3 linked regions of the Xenopus tropicalis genome follow. The protein of the gene in region 2 purifies or fractionates together with the protein of the main gene of each other region. This does not show direct contact. Links are inferred from orthologs where the notes say so. Each region holds a gene or a part of one and is shown on either strand. Other genes may lie near its edges.

Region 1 (4,301 bases), on a different chromosome or scaffold from region 2:
TAAAAGATGTACAGATGGGAACTGCTGGTATAGTGATTGACACTGTCAAGGAAAAACTGTTGGATAGGCCAGTTTGATTGTAGCTACATTTTATTCGTACATACGAAGGCAGTATCCAGACATTCTTAAATGAGAATTGTCTCTGAGCTGATACTACTCTGAATGTCCCAAAGCATGTTTGTCTTATAGTCCTGAAACACTCTTATCAGTAGTTAGCTTTGTTATCTCTAAGAACAGAACAGGCAAAGAGGCCCAGTTGACCAACACACCCAATATGCCTCTTTTCACAAGTTTGCGGACTCATCATAAATGTTTTTACAACAGCAAAAAGAAACATCCTTACACAATGTATTTCACAACCCCTCTAATATTAAATGATATGAACAAGATGGAGAAAAGAAACAAGATGGTTTCTTTTTTTCTCTAACATTCCTCCCTTTTGTTCAAATCTTGAACATATATATTCTTCTTACCCAGAACTCTATTCCGCTCACCTATAAAAGGTTCAGTGGCAGTACAGAGTTGCCTATCATGGTTCCCATCTAAATCAGCAAGTTCTTCATTACCCTGTTCATACAGGAATGGGATCCTGCTATGGATAAGGTCGGCCAAACACAAAAGGTTGCTGATCAGAAGAGGGCTGTTGTATATTTGATCCAGGAGCTAAATGGGTGAGCACCCTCCCTTCAGCTGCCCCTCCATGTAACCTCTGAAATACTGTATTTGCAACAACACAACCTTGCTATAATATATAACACAAGGCCCATTGCAATCCCACACATTCAGTACCATAAAAACTTTTAAACATTTGATAACCAAGTCCTTATGATTCCCATAAATGAGAAACTGTTCTGTAGGGCTCAATTGGGTCATGCAAGTCCCCAATCCAGGTACAACTCTCCTTACCTGTGATTGCACAAACTCCACCCTCATCTACTAGTAGGTAATCTAGGACCGTTCTATTCCATAATGGCATCTTCCTGGCTTAGACCAATTCCTCATTTATTATTTTGATGGAACTTATAGTTTCATTTATTATACCATCCCTTATACTAGCATACTTTTTTTAATCTATTGACTATTTTCTCATCCTATCCAGGCAGGGAACCACATCCATCCTTTATCCTTTTTTTGTTTATTATCCTGGAATGGATATCTTGATTGTCTATGTATGAGATGTTCAGATATTGTCTGATAGTAGGTACAACTCTTCCTATGGTACAATTTCCCTACGCTCCCATAGGAACACCTAGCACTAAATTTTCATTTTCAGGGAAAACTTAAAGTTTAAATCATTAGGACAAATTGCCTTTTATGCACAGCTTGTGTTTTCAAAAGGCTAGAGCAAAACATTAGGTTGCTTAGTTAACGGGACAGCTTCTGGGAGAATGGCAAGGAAATTATAAAATTATATAACCTACCCACTTCATGATGTGGATGCACAACATGGATAAATATATCATGATTACCTTTATGTGATTTCCATTGAAGAGACTCAGTCAGAATAAGCCATCCATCTAATCTCAGAATAATATCCTTATCCCCAGCCCAGTCTATAAACAACTTTATTGTTGTGTTTCACTAGGATACAAATAGTGACTGTGGAAATGCAGTGTAATTGCCTACAAATACAGCTGTCAATTCTGCATAACCCTGCCGAAAGTCTCATCTGGACATGTGGAAACATTCTTTAGAACACAGGCTTTAAACCTACACTTCTTCAGAAGCTAGAATGCACAATGCAAAGGAGTGCTGGGGCAGTTCAGGTTTTGCATTATGGTATATTTCCCTGCTTAAGAATAAAAGAACTTACCCCTATCTCCATGAACTTTTCCATCATAGTTTTTAATGAGTTCTTCAATAAATGTCCCATCTTGGTCCAAAACCTCATCACCCATATATGGAATATTATGCAGAACAGTTTCATCTTCCACCTGAATAGAAGGTAATATTCTTTATTCTGCTTAACACAGGTAAATACATTGCAGACCAAGGGACTTGTACCTAGAGATACTGGCACACAAGGAAATTGGCAGCTTGAGGTAAATCTGCATTACTACAGGTGACAAACCTCCTTGCCTAACCTTTGCATTGCTGTACACAAACCACATTACTCAAAGTGATCCAACTTCTCTTTTTTCATGGGATAAGTCAGATTTCTGCAAGAAATGTGTTTTAATTGCTGCAATCTGAAGGCTTGGTATGAGAAAGACATAGTTCATGAGCTTCTGTCATCCATGGTATTGTAGATTTACCCTTACGTGTTAGTACCCTTAAAGTTTGTATCTGCTGATCTAGAGGCTAAAAATAAACACAGTCTATAGAGCCATGAATTTCCTGTAAGAAATGTTTTCATATACATATGTGAACATTACAGCAGCCTGGTTTATTTTAGCCTTTCTTAATTAAATCTGCATTTTCTCTTTCTCCTGATAAAATGTGTCATGGATATTTATAGAGAACTTTTCCCTATAGACCCGTTAAACAATACACTGTTAATGGATTCCATATGGGAAGGCTCTGAGAATCTACTGTTTCAGTAGTAGCAGAAATTGACTGATTAAAGATCCCATGGCATAACATACTAAATTGATGAAGCAAGTGAAACTACACTAAACACTTTATGAGTGAGGTGAAAAGATAATGCCCCGATATATTGAGTAAAACCATTAGTTAACAGTCAAATCATGTGTAACTTCCCACCATTCTGGTACACGCAAGTAATACTATCACAGGTATGGGACCCATTATCCAGAATGCTCAGGACCTGGGGTATTTCGGATAAGGGGTCTTTCTGTAATTCAGATCTCCTACCTTAAGTCTAATTAAAAAAAAAATTTAAACAGCAATAAACCCAATAGGATTGTTTTGGTTCCAATAAGGATTAATTATATCTTAGCTGGGATCAAGTACAAGGTACTGTTTTATTATTACAGAGAAAAAGGAAACCATTTTTAAAAATGTGAATTATTCATTAAAATGGAGTTTATGGGAGATGGCTTTTCCGTAATTCAGAACTTTCTGGATAATGGGTCCGATACCTGTACTATCTTTTCTAAAAAAAAACACATTCTAAACTGGGGATGCACAAAATCCCATATCTGGTTTGGAATTCGGCCTAATCTAAGCCATTTTTAGCAGAATTTAAGCGAATACAAGAGCCTGGATAAAACAAATCCTAACCTTATGTTTTGAAAAAATATTTTGTGAGTGCACCTGCAATAACACCTGCAGTTTCAGCGATTTCCACTTCTGGGGTTTGGATTCAGTTTGGTATTCGGCCCATTACATACCCAATGATTTGGCCAAAATTTAGGGTTTGGTGCATCCACAATGATACCAAAAGAAAAAGGCATGTGATAGCAAAAATGAAAGGCACAAGGGTTTCATAAAATTTAAAGGAACAGCAACACCAAAAAATGAAAGTGTATAAAAGTAACTAAAATATAATGTGCTGCTGCCCTGCACTGGTAAAAGTTGTGTGTTTACTTCAGAAAGTCTACTATAGTTTATATAAATAAGCTGCTATGTAGCCATGGAGGCAGCCATTCAAAGGAGAAAAGGCACAGGCACATAGCAGATAACAGATAAAACACTATTGTATTCTACAGAACTTATCTGTTATCTGCTATGTAACCTGTGCCTTTTCTCCTTTTTTCCAGCTTGAATGGCTGCCCCCGTGGCTAAACAGCAGCTTATTATATAAATTATAGTAGTGTTACAGTAGCAAACACACCAGTTTTACCAGTGCAGGGCAACAGTGCATTATATTTTTATTACTTTAAAGCTCTTTAATTTTTTGGTGTTACTGTTCCTTTAAGACCATACCAGATAACTACCAAAGTGAAAAACACAAGACAGGTGCCAAAGATAGTAGGAAAACTAAAGACATGAAATTATTTTAAAGAACTGCACTAAGGAAGCAGAAAGAAAAAACAAGTGAAACCAACAATAGCTGCCATAATGGGAAAGCAAAAAAAAAAAAAACCACAGGAAAATGAAGAATGTATGGAACTGGATAAATGTAAGGACAACCAGAATTCATGGACTTGTCCAAATGCAAGCACTTTTTACAGGATTCAGACTCAAAATCTAAATCTTTAGGGTTCCAATCGAGTCTGGAACTTTTTTCAATTTATATCAAATATGATTAAGCAAATAATGGTTTGAAATCATATCATAATATTATACATATTTATAATAAATGAGAAAGGGGTGGGAGAATAAACAATGTTTTTATTAACACTATATTCTGTTAAAGAACAGTGTCAACTTTTGCTAGTAGAAATTTCTGAACTACT
Region 2 (4,301 bases):
CAAATAATTTAAAATCTTTAAGAATTAAATAATGAAGACCAATTGAAAGGTTGCTTAAAATAGACCATTCTATAACATACTATTAATTAGCTTAAAGGTGAACCCCCCCATGTATAGTTCCAAGAGCCACAAGCCGGGGGGGGGCAGACAAACTGTAAGAGGCAGGAAGCTCTTTATCACATATACAGACAGGGGAAGTTGGGCAAATGTGCACCAATCAGGCGGTTCCTCTATGAACAGGTCTCTCGTGCCAATGTTATGGAGCAGGAGAGGAAAGGCTGTACCGCCCCTTATGCAATAACAACACTATTCCTGCTCTGTGATTGGCCCATTGGGAACCCCATGTTTGCTAGCTGTACGTGAAGCTTCCGCTGGCACAATGGGGGTCAGTATTTGAGCAGCAAAGATCCCGGCCGTAATGGCTGCCCCTTCCCAGGTGCTGATGGGACCCGAAACCAGTGCAGGAGAACCCACTAAAAAGGACACCCCAAGAAGCAAAGAGGAGAACAGGAAGGGCAGAAATATCAGGACAGGGAACAAATCCACCCTACAGATGTACGAGACTGCAGGACAGACAGCAATGCACCTGTGCAGCTACCCCTCCCCGGCCACACCCACAGGCAACACCTACCTGTATCTGCAGCTCCTGCCCCACCTGAGAGGGATCAGAGAACATTATTGGTACCTGAAAGCAAATTGTGCCCCACAATACTGCCCTGTGTCATCACATTCAGGGGCAAAGATCAGACAACTGCCGATACACCGCACTGACTGCTTCCCCAGATATTAAAGGGTAACTATACACCTGGCTGACATGATCTCATTCAGTAGGATTATATATCTGTATACCGACGGCTCCATCGACAGGCACAGCATTATGGCCTGTGTGGGGCTACACGGAGAGGATATTGGGCAAAAATACATATTTTTACATTTCCGTGCCAGTATCGACTCAGTGTAGCTCCGCCCAGGCTGAGGAGCACATGACAGCAGATCTACCCCCCATCCCGATACCGACCTTGGTTGAAGCTTTGGGGGACTTTGCAGTGGAGGCCCTCGGAGACCGCCTGCTGGGTGACTTCCGGAGAGAGCGGTGCGGGGATTTGCCTGAAGTGCTGCCGGCGCTGCCACTTGCCCCCCGCCCCCGGGGGCTATTTTTGGGAGTCGTTTTCTTGTTGAGGCCTCTCTTCAGGAGGCTGTTGCCCAGCTTTCTGGGGGTGTTGAAAATGCTAAATGCTGTAGACTGACGGCGAGTGGGCTGCGCCTGCTGAAACGGGAGCAAAAGACTGTGTGAAATTCATATGAACATACCGCTTTATGGCACTGCAGTATTATTGGTACAAACAGTGACAAACCCCTAACTTCATCCGTTGCTGCCCTGATTTCATTGGTTTATAGGGACAGTGGCGCTGCCCTGATTTCATTGGTTTATAGGGACAGTGGCGCTGCCCTGATTTCATTGGTTTATAGGGACAGTGGCGCTGCCCTGATTTCATTGGTTTATAGGGACAGTGGCGCTGCCCTCCATCCCTGGGAACGTGAGAGCAATGGCCTGTCCCCTGGGACTCAGCGCACACAAGATGGTGTATAATGGTTGGTAAATGCATGAGAATTAGCAGCTCACCTGATGGCTGGAGTTTCCTTTGCTTTCCACAGTGGACAATCTGCGTGCGTCGTGTTTATCCTTTGGGGTCATGGGCCGAGGAAAGCAAGTGGCAGACTTCTTGGCCTGTAAGTAATACGGAAAGTTAGTTCTATAGAGCAGCAGAGCCACTAGCCCTTTAGCCCAAGTACAAACATGGAATGGCAAAGCTGCTCACTTCTGGGGTGTCTGGGCCAAGGTGAGACTCCTCGGACACGCGCTTCATCTGCTGCCTGGTGCTGATGCTGGGTCCCCTCATATGTTCAGAGGCAGCCAAGCTCATTCTGCGGGTACTGCCTGTGGACTCTTGTATCTGGGAGGGCAGCATGGTGGCTCTCCTGAGCGTCTCTTTAGGGTCTCCCAACTTGACCTCTTCATCGGTAATGGTGGAGCTTAAGAGTGACGGCTGAAAATGGATTGTGTGTTTTAGTTTAACAATTAACTTGATAAATTGCCCTAAAAACTCTTGCGACACACAGTGCTGATCCAAGCAATCAAGTCTCGCACTCCCATTGGTATTAAAGGTCCCCATACACTGGCAGATCTGCTTCCTTGCCGATCTTCTCCCGATACCCCCACCTACAGGATTTACGACGGGCATAGGTAAAGATTTTCTAGCCTGCCCGATCGAGATCTGGCCGATTTCAGGACAGATATCAGTCGGGCAGGCCCATCGGAAGTGCCCATACACGGGCCGATTAGCTGCCGAATTGGTCTAAGGGACCCATATCGGCAGCTAGAATCGGCCCGTGTATGGGGGGGCCTTAACCCTAGGGATGCTCTACCCCTACCCAAAGACAGCAGCCGTGCAGCTAAAGATATGCCCAGTACTTGTGCAATAGAACAGATACGCACCCTGGACTCCAGTGGGTAGGAAGTCTTGAGGTGGGGTGGGCAGGCCTTGTTCCGGGCCTGCAACTCAGCGATCCGGTTCCAGTCTTCCTGTGGGTCTGGCTCATCCTGGCACGTGCTCATGTAGAAACTGCTTCGGCCTGAAAGGAACAACATGGGGCTGAGGCTGCGGGGTTGTTATCACACACAGGGTGCAGGTATGGGGGAAGCATACAGAGCTGTTGGAGTGAGTTCTGTAAGGGGGCTATAGAGAACAGACTACACATCAGGCACGTAAGGGAACAGGCAACTACCTCCAGTTTGTGAAAGCCTTGCAGATCTACGCGTGGGGGGTCGGTAACCAGGTAAATTCATCAATACGGAGTTATTAAAGCTGTCATCAGAGAACTGTTCTGTCTTGGCCAGGGATTCCTGGGATGGGAGGCTGGCCAGGGCTGGGGCAGAAACCGCTGCCTGAGGACGCCCAGGCCTCCGGGGCTTCTGCTGGTGGAGACTCTGATAGGACGGAGCGGAGCGCAGGCTGTAGAATGACGTGTTGGCACTCTCTGCTTCCGGTTCCTCCTTTGTCTTCTGAAATGAAACCATAATGCAAATTTAATGGACACCCTACTCAAGACATGAATTCTTTCCCAATAACATTAGGAGAAATATCAATGTAAGAACCCTCGGCACTGACCAATATCTCCATCTGGGGGAACACAAGAAGCAGTGACCTGAGCAATGATTGGTTTGAGGTATGGAATCTCCAATATGGCAGCCAGTATGTTTGAAACTAATCCAGTTCTCAGTGAGGGCTGTTCCTAGGGCTCCCAGACCAAATGGAGATGGCTCGGCCCCCAGGATGTGGCATTGGACATAAGCTACAAAGTGCCACTATCTCCCATGCTGACTGTCACCATGGTGACTTCTGGGCCCCACATTGGCAACTGCTCTGCTCCCTGACTCAAAGCCCCCGATTCCCCCCACGCCGACACTTTCTCCTTACCTTGGTCATTGTGATGTTAATGATCTGGGTGGTGCGTCTCCTTGCAGACCGCGTTTTCTTGCTGGAGTCTAGGGACAGGTCCCCAATGGAACCAAGGCTACTTTCCAGTTTGGACTGTGCCCGGGTTGGAATAGGTGTGAAGTAGAGGCTTTCCAGAGACTCCACCTTTTTGGGCAGTTGGCCTGTGGTAGGAGACTCCATGCTGCTGGCATGTACTGACGATGTGGCAGGTTCCTCGTTGCAGCGGCCATTCTTACTGTGATAAATAAAATGCATATATTAGGGTACATTTCTGGTGGGTCAGGGACACACACAGCATTTGTTTTTGAAAATTGATCAGCTTTTCATGTCTAAAATGCATCTCTGCTCAAATGAACTTATGTTCTATCCTTGCTTTAACGGCAGATTTGGGTGTGCAGAAAGATGAGCTATTGCTCCAATGCTTTACTGCCCCCTAGCTGCAAGACTCAGCCAGCCAAGTGTCTTGTACATATTCCTATTTGTTTATTTGGCTACTATATAATGTCAGTATCTGCTGCACTGCATACAAAACAGTACAGACAGGAGGAACCAGCATTACATAAATATAGTCACAATAAATGCCACATTCAGAGAGACATATGAAGCTGTAGCCAGGCCCGGACTGACAAGCTGTGGGTTCTGGCAAATGCCATAAGGGCTGCTGTAAGATGCCAGACACTCACTATTATTGGGCCTCTGTGTACATTAAATGACGGGGCCCATTATGAATCCCAGTCCGGACCTGGCTGCAGGTTTCTGCCCTGTACAGCTTACAATCCGACTGCCTTTATCACATTAGTA
Region 3 (4,301 bases), on a different chromosome or scaffold from region 2:
TAAGAAGGAGGTTGAACATGATGGCCACATCCTTTTTTTAACCTTCATTGCAGTGTAACTCTGTAATGTTTAACCCCACTACCATTTTCTATAATCCAGTTTTGTCCAGATCATGTTTCCAAGCAACCATTTTTTTTTTTTTTAAAATAGTTTTTGGGTTTTGTTTCTGTTTTTTTTTCTTTTTAATCATTCTTATCTCTTCCACTCTTTGGCTTTATTCTATTATGGATATACAGGTATGGGACCCATTATCCAGAATGCTCGGGACCTGGGGTTTTCCAGATAAGGGGTCTTTCTGTAATTTGGATCTCCTACCTAAAGTCTGCTAAAAACATTATTTAAACAGTAATTAAACCCAATAGGATTGTTTTCCCCCTAATAAGGATAAATTATATCTTAGTTGGGATTGAGTACAAGGTACTGTTTTATTACTACAGAGAAAAAGGAAATTTTTAAAAATGTGGATTATTTGATTAAAATGGAGTCTATGGGAAATGGCCTTTCCGTAATTCGGAACTTTCTGGATAATGGGTTTCCGGATAAGGGGTCCGATACCTGTACCAGTATGGTGTAAATAGGTGCTGTCCAACTTGTTTTATATTATGTAGTGGGCAAATTATTTTAGAGAAGTCTATGAAGCCTTCAAGCAGACTGGGGGCCATAAGAATTCTTTGGAGGGCCACCAGCTGGACAGCCTTGTTGTAAATAACAGAGACCCTAAGAAAGAGAGAATAAGTGACTTATTCTCTGTTTTACAGATAGCTGAAATGAATTAATGTAAAGAAGCAGAAAGTAGAGCAATTCTACTTACTAACACACATATAATTTACTCAGTGAACACTGTATTTTGACAGCACATATAAAACCTATTACAGTTATACTATTAATTTAACGTAATCACTGTCCTCATAAAATGAAGCCTATAATTTATCATAACTGCATTAAAAATGACCGCTATGTCTGGGTATTTGTTTAGTATGCCTCACACAGGATCTATGATTATTCTAATTCCATTATACGTTATTAGTATTAGTACTATTCAGCAAAGTCCTATAAAGCTCAAGCTACATAAGAGATAACACCAGACATGGAGGAAAGATCACAAATGTTAGAGTTTTTAAAATAATTTTGTCTAAAATTGTAATGGCACAGTAAATAGCACAGTTCTGGGCATTTTGTCACATCAGTCTTTGTTACTGAGTGACAATCACCAGACGTACGAGTGCCCCTGTGAGTACAGCAGATTGCCATTGAAATGAATGGGGAGAAATTTAAAGAGTTTTGTTGCCCGTGCAGTGATAAACTGCCCGAAATCGTGCCACTGCCCTTAGGTATAGCATCACACATTCATAAAATCACAAATTTAACAGTTTCCAGCTCTAGGAATAGATTACTGGCCATGTAAACATTGAGCATTAATAAAACAGTTGATGAAACTGACGGGGCCCTCCTGTAATGCAAAACACATCATGAAGAACACATTGAGAAAAACAACTCATAAGCTTATACAATCGGCAGCCACCTGAGCCCAGGATTGTGAAGTAGATGTAACCTCTCCTAGGAACTCAGATGGCTTTCTTGTAGATTCTAATAAACTGTAGATATCAGAACCCTCCAAGGTTTTTTCACCAGATGATTGTTTGGTCTAAACAGACAAAGAAATGAAATGTCAAACAGGGACAACAAAGAAAGACATATGAAAACACAGAAGAGAAAGTCAGAGAGAGGGATTGTGGGTAGCCAGTAGAGAATATTAAAGATCGGGATAGTCTCGGAAAGGATTTATGAGAGTGTGCATTACGGGGAGACAGGGTGGCGGAGGAGTAAAAACAAAACAAGAAGAATGGCATACAGCGGCACAAGACACACTTTCACATTAGTTAGAGTACAACACAAGACAAAAATAGATAAGGGAAAGAAGCCATCAAAGTCATGGACACAGCAGAAAAAGGAAAATAAAACTAGTGCACATCTGGTAGGCCTGTAAGAAAAGCTGTAAAGCAGAGGGCCCTATTCAACAACCTAAAATAAAATAAGAAATTAGTTTGACATACAACAAAATCTGTAGAGAAATAATGGCACCAAACAACATACAGTGTGGTCCTCATTGACTGAAAGGGAAGATTCTTTGGAAGCAAGACTTTAACATTATAAAGATGCCTGCTGGTTTCATTGTAAAGTTGATTAGATTGTCCAGGTTTGAGAAACTGACATTTTGTTTGGGTAATCAGTAACACCAAATAATATGTTATAAAAAATGGCACAGTCAGGTACAGGATTGTTTTGTGCAAAACTGTCACCATTACCCAAATGGATCAAAATTTACCTCCAAAATGACCTTATAACTTGTCACATCTGTACCATACTGGAACGTTATTCCTATAGGACACAGGTCAAACAGACAAATTCTTGGCTGTGGAAGATCAATGAGGACAGAACTGTATACTTTGCCTTACAAGTTTGAGTATGTCAGATATAATGTAAAGTAAAATTTTCAAATTAACCACAAAAATTCCAGTTTGCCTAATGTGGGGGTCCTCTTAGTGTTTCAAAACATGCCTTTTTGGAGGATTGTGTACATTAAGATTGTTAAAGGTCTCAAAACCAACAGCTGCTGACTGGCTCTAATCGTAATAGAGAGGTGCTTCTAAGAACTTGTTGAATAGGGCCCGAGGTTGTTAGATCTGGGAAACTGCTAGCCGTTACCAAGTAAATATATGCATTTGAGTGACTTTTGTTGTGTTAAGGGATTCAAGCCTCACATTGCCCGCTGTGGTTGCAATGCTAATAAAAATGAAAAATCATAAATATAAGTTGGCTGTCAAAGGAATGCCAAGCAGCAAGTGAACAAAAGGGTATTGTGAAGCTGGGATATGTCTGGTATTCATGCGTTTACTCTTCAAAATGGGGCATATAGTCATCGGTGCATGTTACCACCACTTTGGATGCAGATGACTCGGTAACATAATGAGCAGTGGCAATGGTAAATGGCTGATCTCGTGTGTATCGCCACTCGGACAGCTTCTTATCTTTCCAAGACGGGACATCTGCTTTAATAACATCATAATCTTGAAACTGCTCAGCCTTCCCAAAAATCACACTTTCAATCAAATTCTTCTCCGTATCTTTATCTTGCACTTTCTTCAGAGTCTCTTCTACTGGACTAGCCAGCTGGGAGTCTGACTCTTTGATGGGTGTCAGTGTTTCTGACATTCTTCTCTTTACAGGTGGCCCTTCTGGAACTTTTCTTCCCTTGTCATCACTAATCGGCTCCAGGATCTCATAGTCCCCTGTACCAGGAGCAATTTTTATAGTTTCAGCTATATCCTTCTCCAGCTTTTGAATTATTTCAAATGAAGATGGTGTTTTTTCTTTATCCCCTTCTTTTGCTTTACTTGTCATAGTTACTACTTTTCCAGACACGGTATCATAAGACCTTCCTAATGTATACATTTTCAGTTTGCTATCCTCTTCTTTGGACTTCAGTTCCATTTTCAGCGCATCCAAGCTCTGACCTCCCAGTGGGCTGGTTTTAAACGTTCCAGCTGGCATGTCACTGCTCACTGTTGTCACTTTGTAAGTCACAATGGTTTTTGTTTCACCATCAACTACCTTAGTAGGCACTTTGTCTATAATAACCCAATCCTCTGTGCCCTACATGTGAGATATAAAAGCTAAATTAGAATACCTGCAAATGTAAGTTGCGCATTACTAAAAGAACATCCCTCATTTAAATGTTACTATACATAAGGGATGCCAAAATGAAGACCACCCAGCTATTGTGATCTATACCTCCCAGTACCCACAGCAACACTGCAATGAGTCCACCATGCCTGCTTAACTTTCCATAAGAAGATATAAACAAATTAGGTCAGGACTTAACCAAAATGTATATTATCCATGCAAGTCTAGATTAAGAATGAGTACATTGTAAATATATAACTTTAAGCAGTTATTTTTATTTTATTTATTTACAATGTACTCATTCTAAGTAAATGAAATATCTGTTTTATATTTATTCATGGTGGGGGATTTTATCTAGATTAAATGAATAAAGAGTAACCTCTGGGGATGTCGGGATAGTTTTCTGCATAATGATTTGCTGAGAAGTAGCCACAGGGCTGGTGGCTCTTGCCTCCCGCAGTTTCTTCACTATGTCCCCTGGCTAATGAAAGAAACCATAAAAAAAGAGAATGCATTCAGAGATGCATTGGTGAGTGAGCTGGGAGATTTTGGAAAATACATTATATGAAAATTTAATTCAAATGAATTGAACAATGCATTGGATCAAAGACTATAAT

The links.
Region 1: the proteins of numa1 (region 2) and ezh2 purify together in Homo sapiens (affinity purification with mass spectrometry; 3 studies listed by BioGRID and IntAct, with this or other methods). This does not show direct contact. The link is inferred for Xenopus tropicalis from reciprocal best matches to the Homo sapiens genes NUMA1 and EZH2.
Region 3: the proteins of numa1 (region 2) and epb41l3 purify together in Homo sapiens (affinity purification with mass spectrometry; 3 studies listed by BioGRID and IntAct, with this or other methods). This does not show direct contact. The link is inferred for Xenopus tropicalis from reciprocal best matches to the Homo sapiens genes NUMA1 and EPB41L3.

Annotation. Positions count from the first base shown.
Region 1 is NC_030682.2:55,145,316-55,149,616, reverse strand, and holds part of ezh2 (histone-lysine N-methyltransferase EZH2), read right to left. Parts: intron 1,935-4,301; coding exon 1,814-1,934; intron 1-1,813. UniProt on the Homo sapiens protein: Polycomb group (PcG) protein. Catalytic subunit of the PRC2/EED-EZH2 complex, which methylates 'Lys-9' (H3K9me) and 'Lys-27' (H3K27me) of histone H3, leading to transcriptional repression of the affected target gene.
Region 2 is NC_030678.2:178,876,369-178,880,669, reverse strand, and holds part of numa1 (nuclear mitotic apparatus protein 1), read right to left. Parts: intron 3,736-4,301; coding exon 3,480-3,735; intron 3,065-3,479; coding exon 2,788-3,064; intron 2,635-2,787; coding exon 2,498-2,634; intron 2,049-2,497; coding exon 1,821-2,048; intron 1,730-1,820; coding exon 1,625-1,729; intron 1,268-1,624; coding exon 1,019-1,267; intron 656-1,018; coding exon 632-655; intron 1-631. UniProt on the Homo sapiens protein: Microtubule (MT)-binding protein that plays a role in the formation and maintenance of the spindle poles and the alignement and the segregation of chromosomes during mitotic cell division.
Region 3 is NC_030682.2:106,405,478-106,409,778, reverse strand, and holds part of epb41l3 (band 4.1-like protein 3), read right to left. Parts: intron 4,166-4,301; coding exon 4,064-4,165; intron 3,655-4,063; coding exon 2,935-3,654; intron 1,646-2,934; coding exon 1,523-1,645; intron 1-1,522. UniProt on the Homo sapiens protein: Tumor suppressor that inhibits cell proliferation and promotes apoptosis. Modulates the activity of protein arginine N-methyltransferases, including PRMT3 and PRMT5.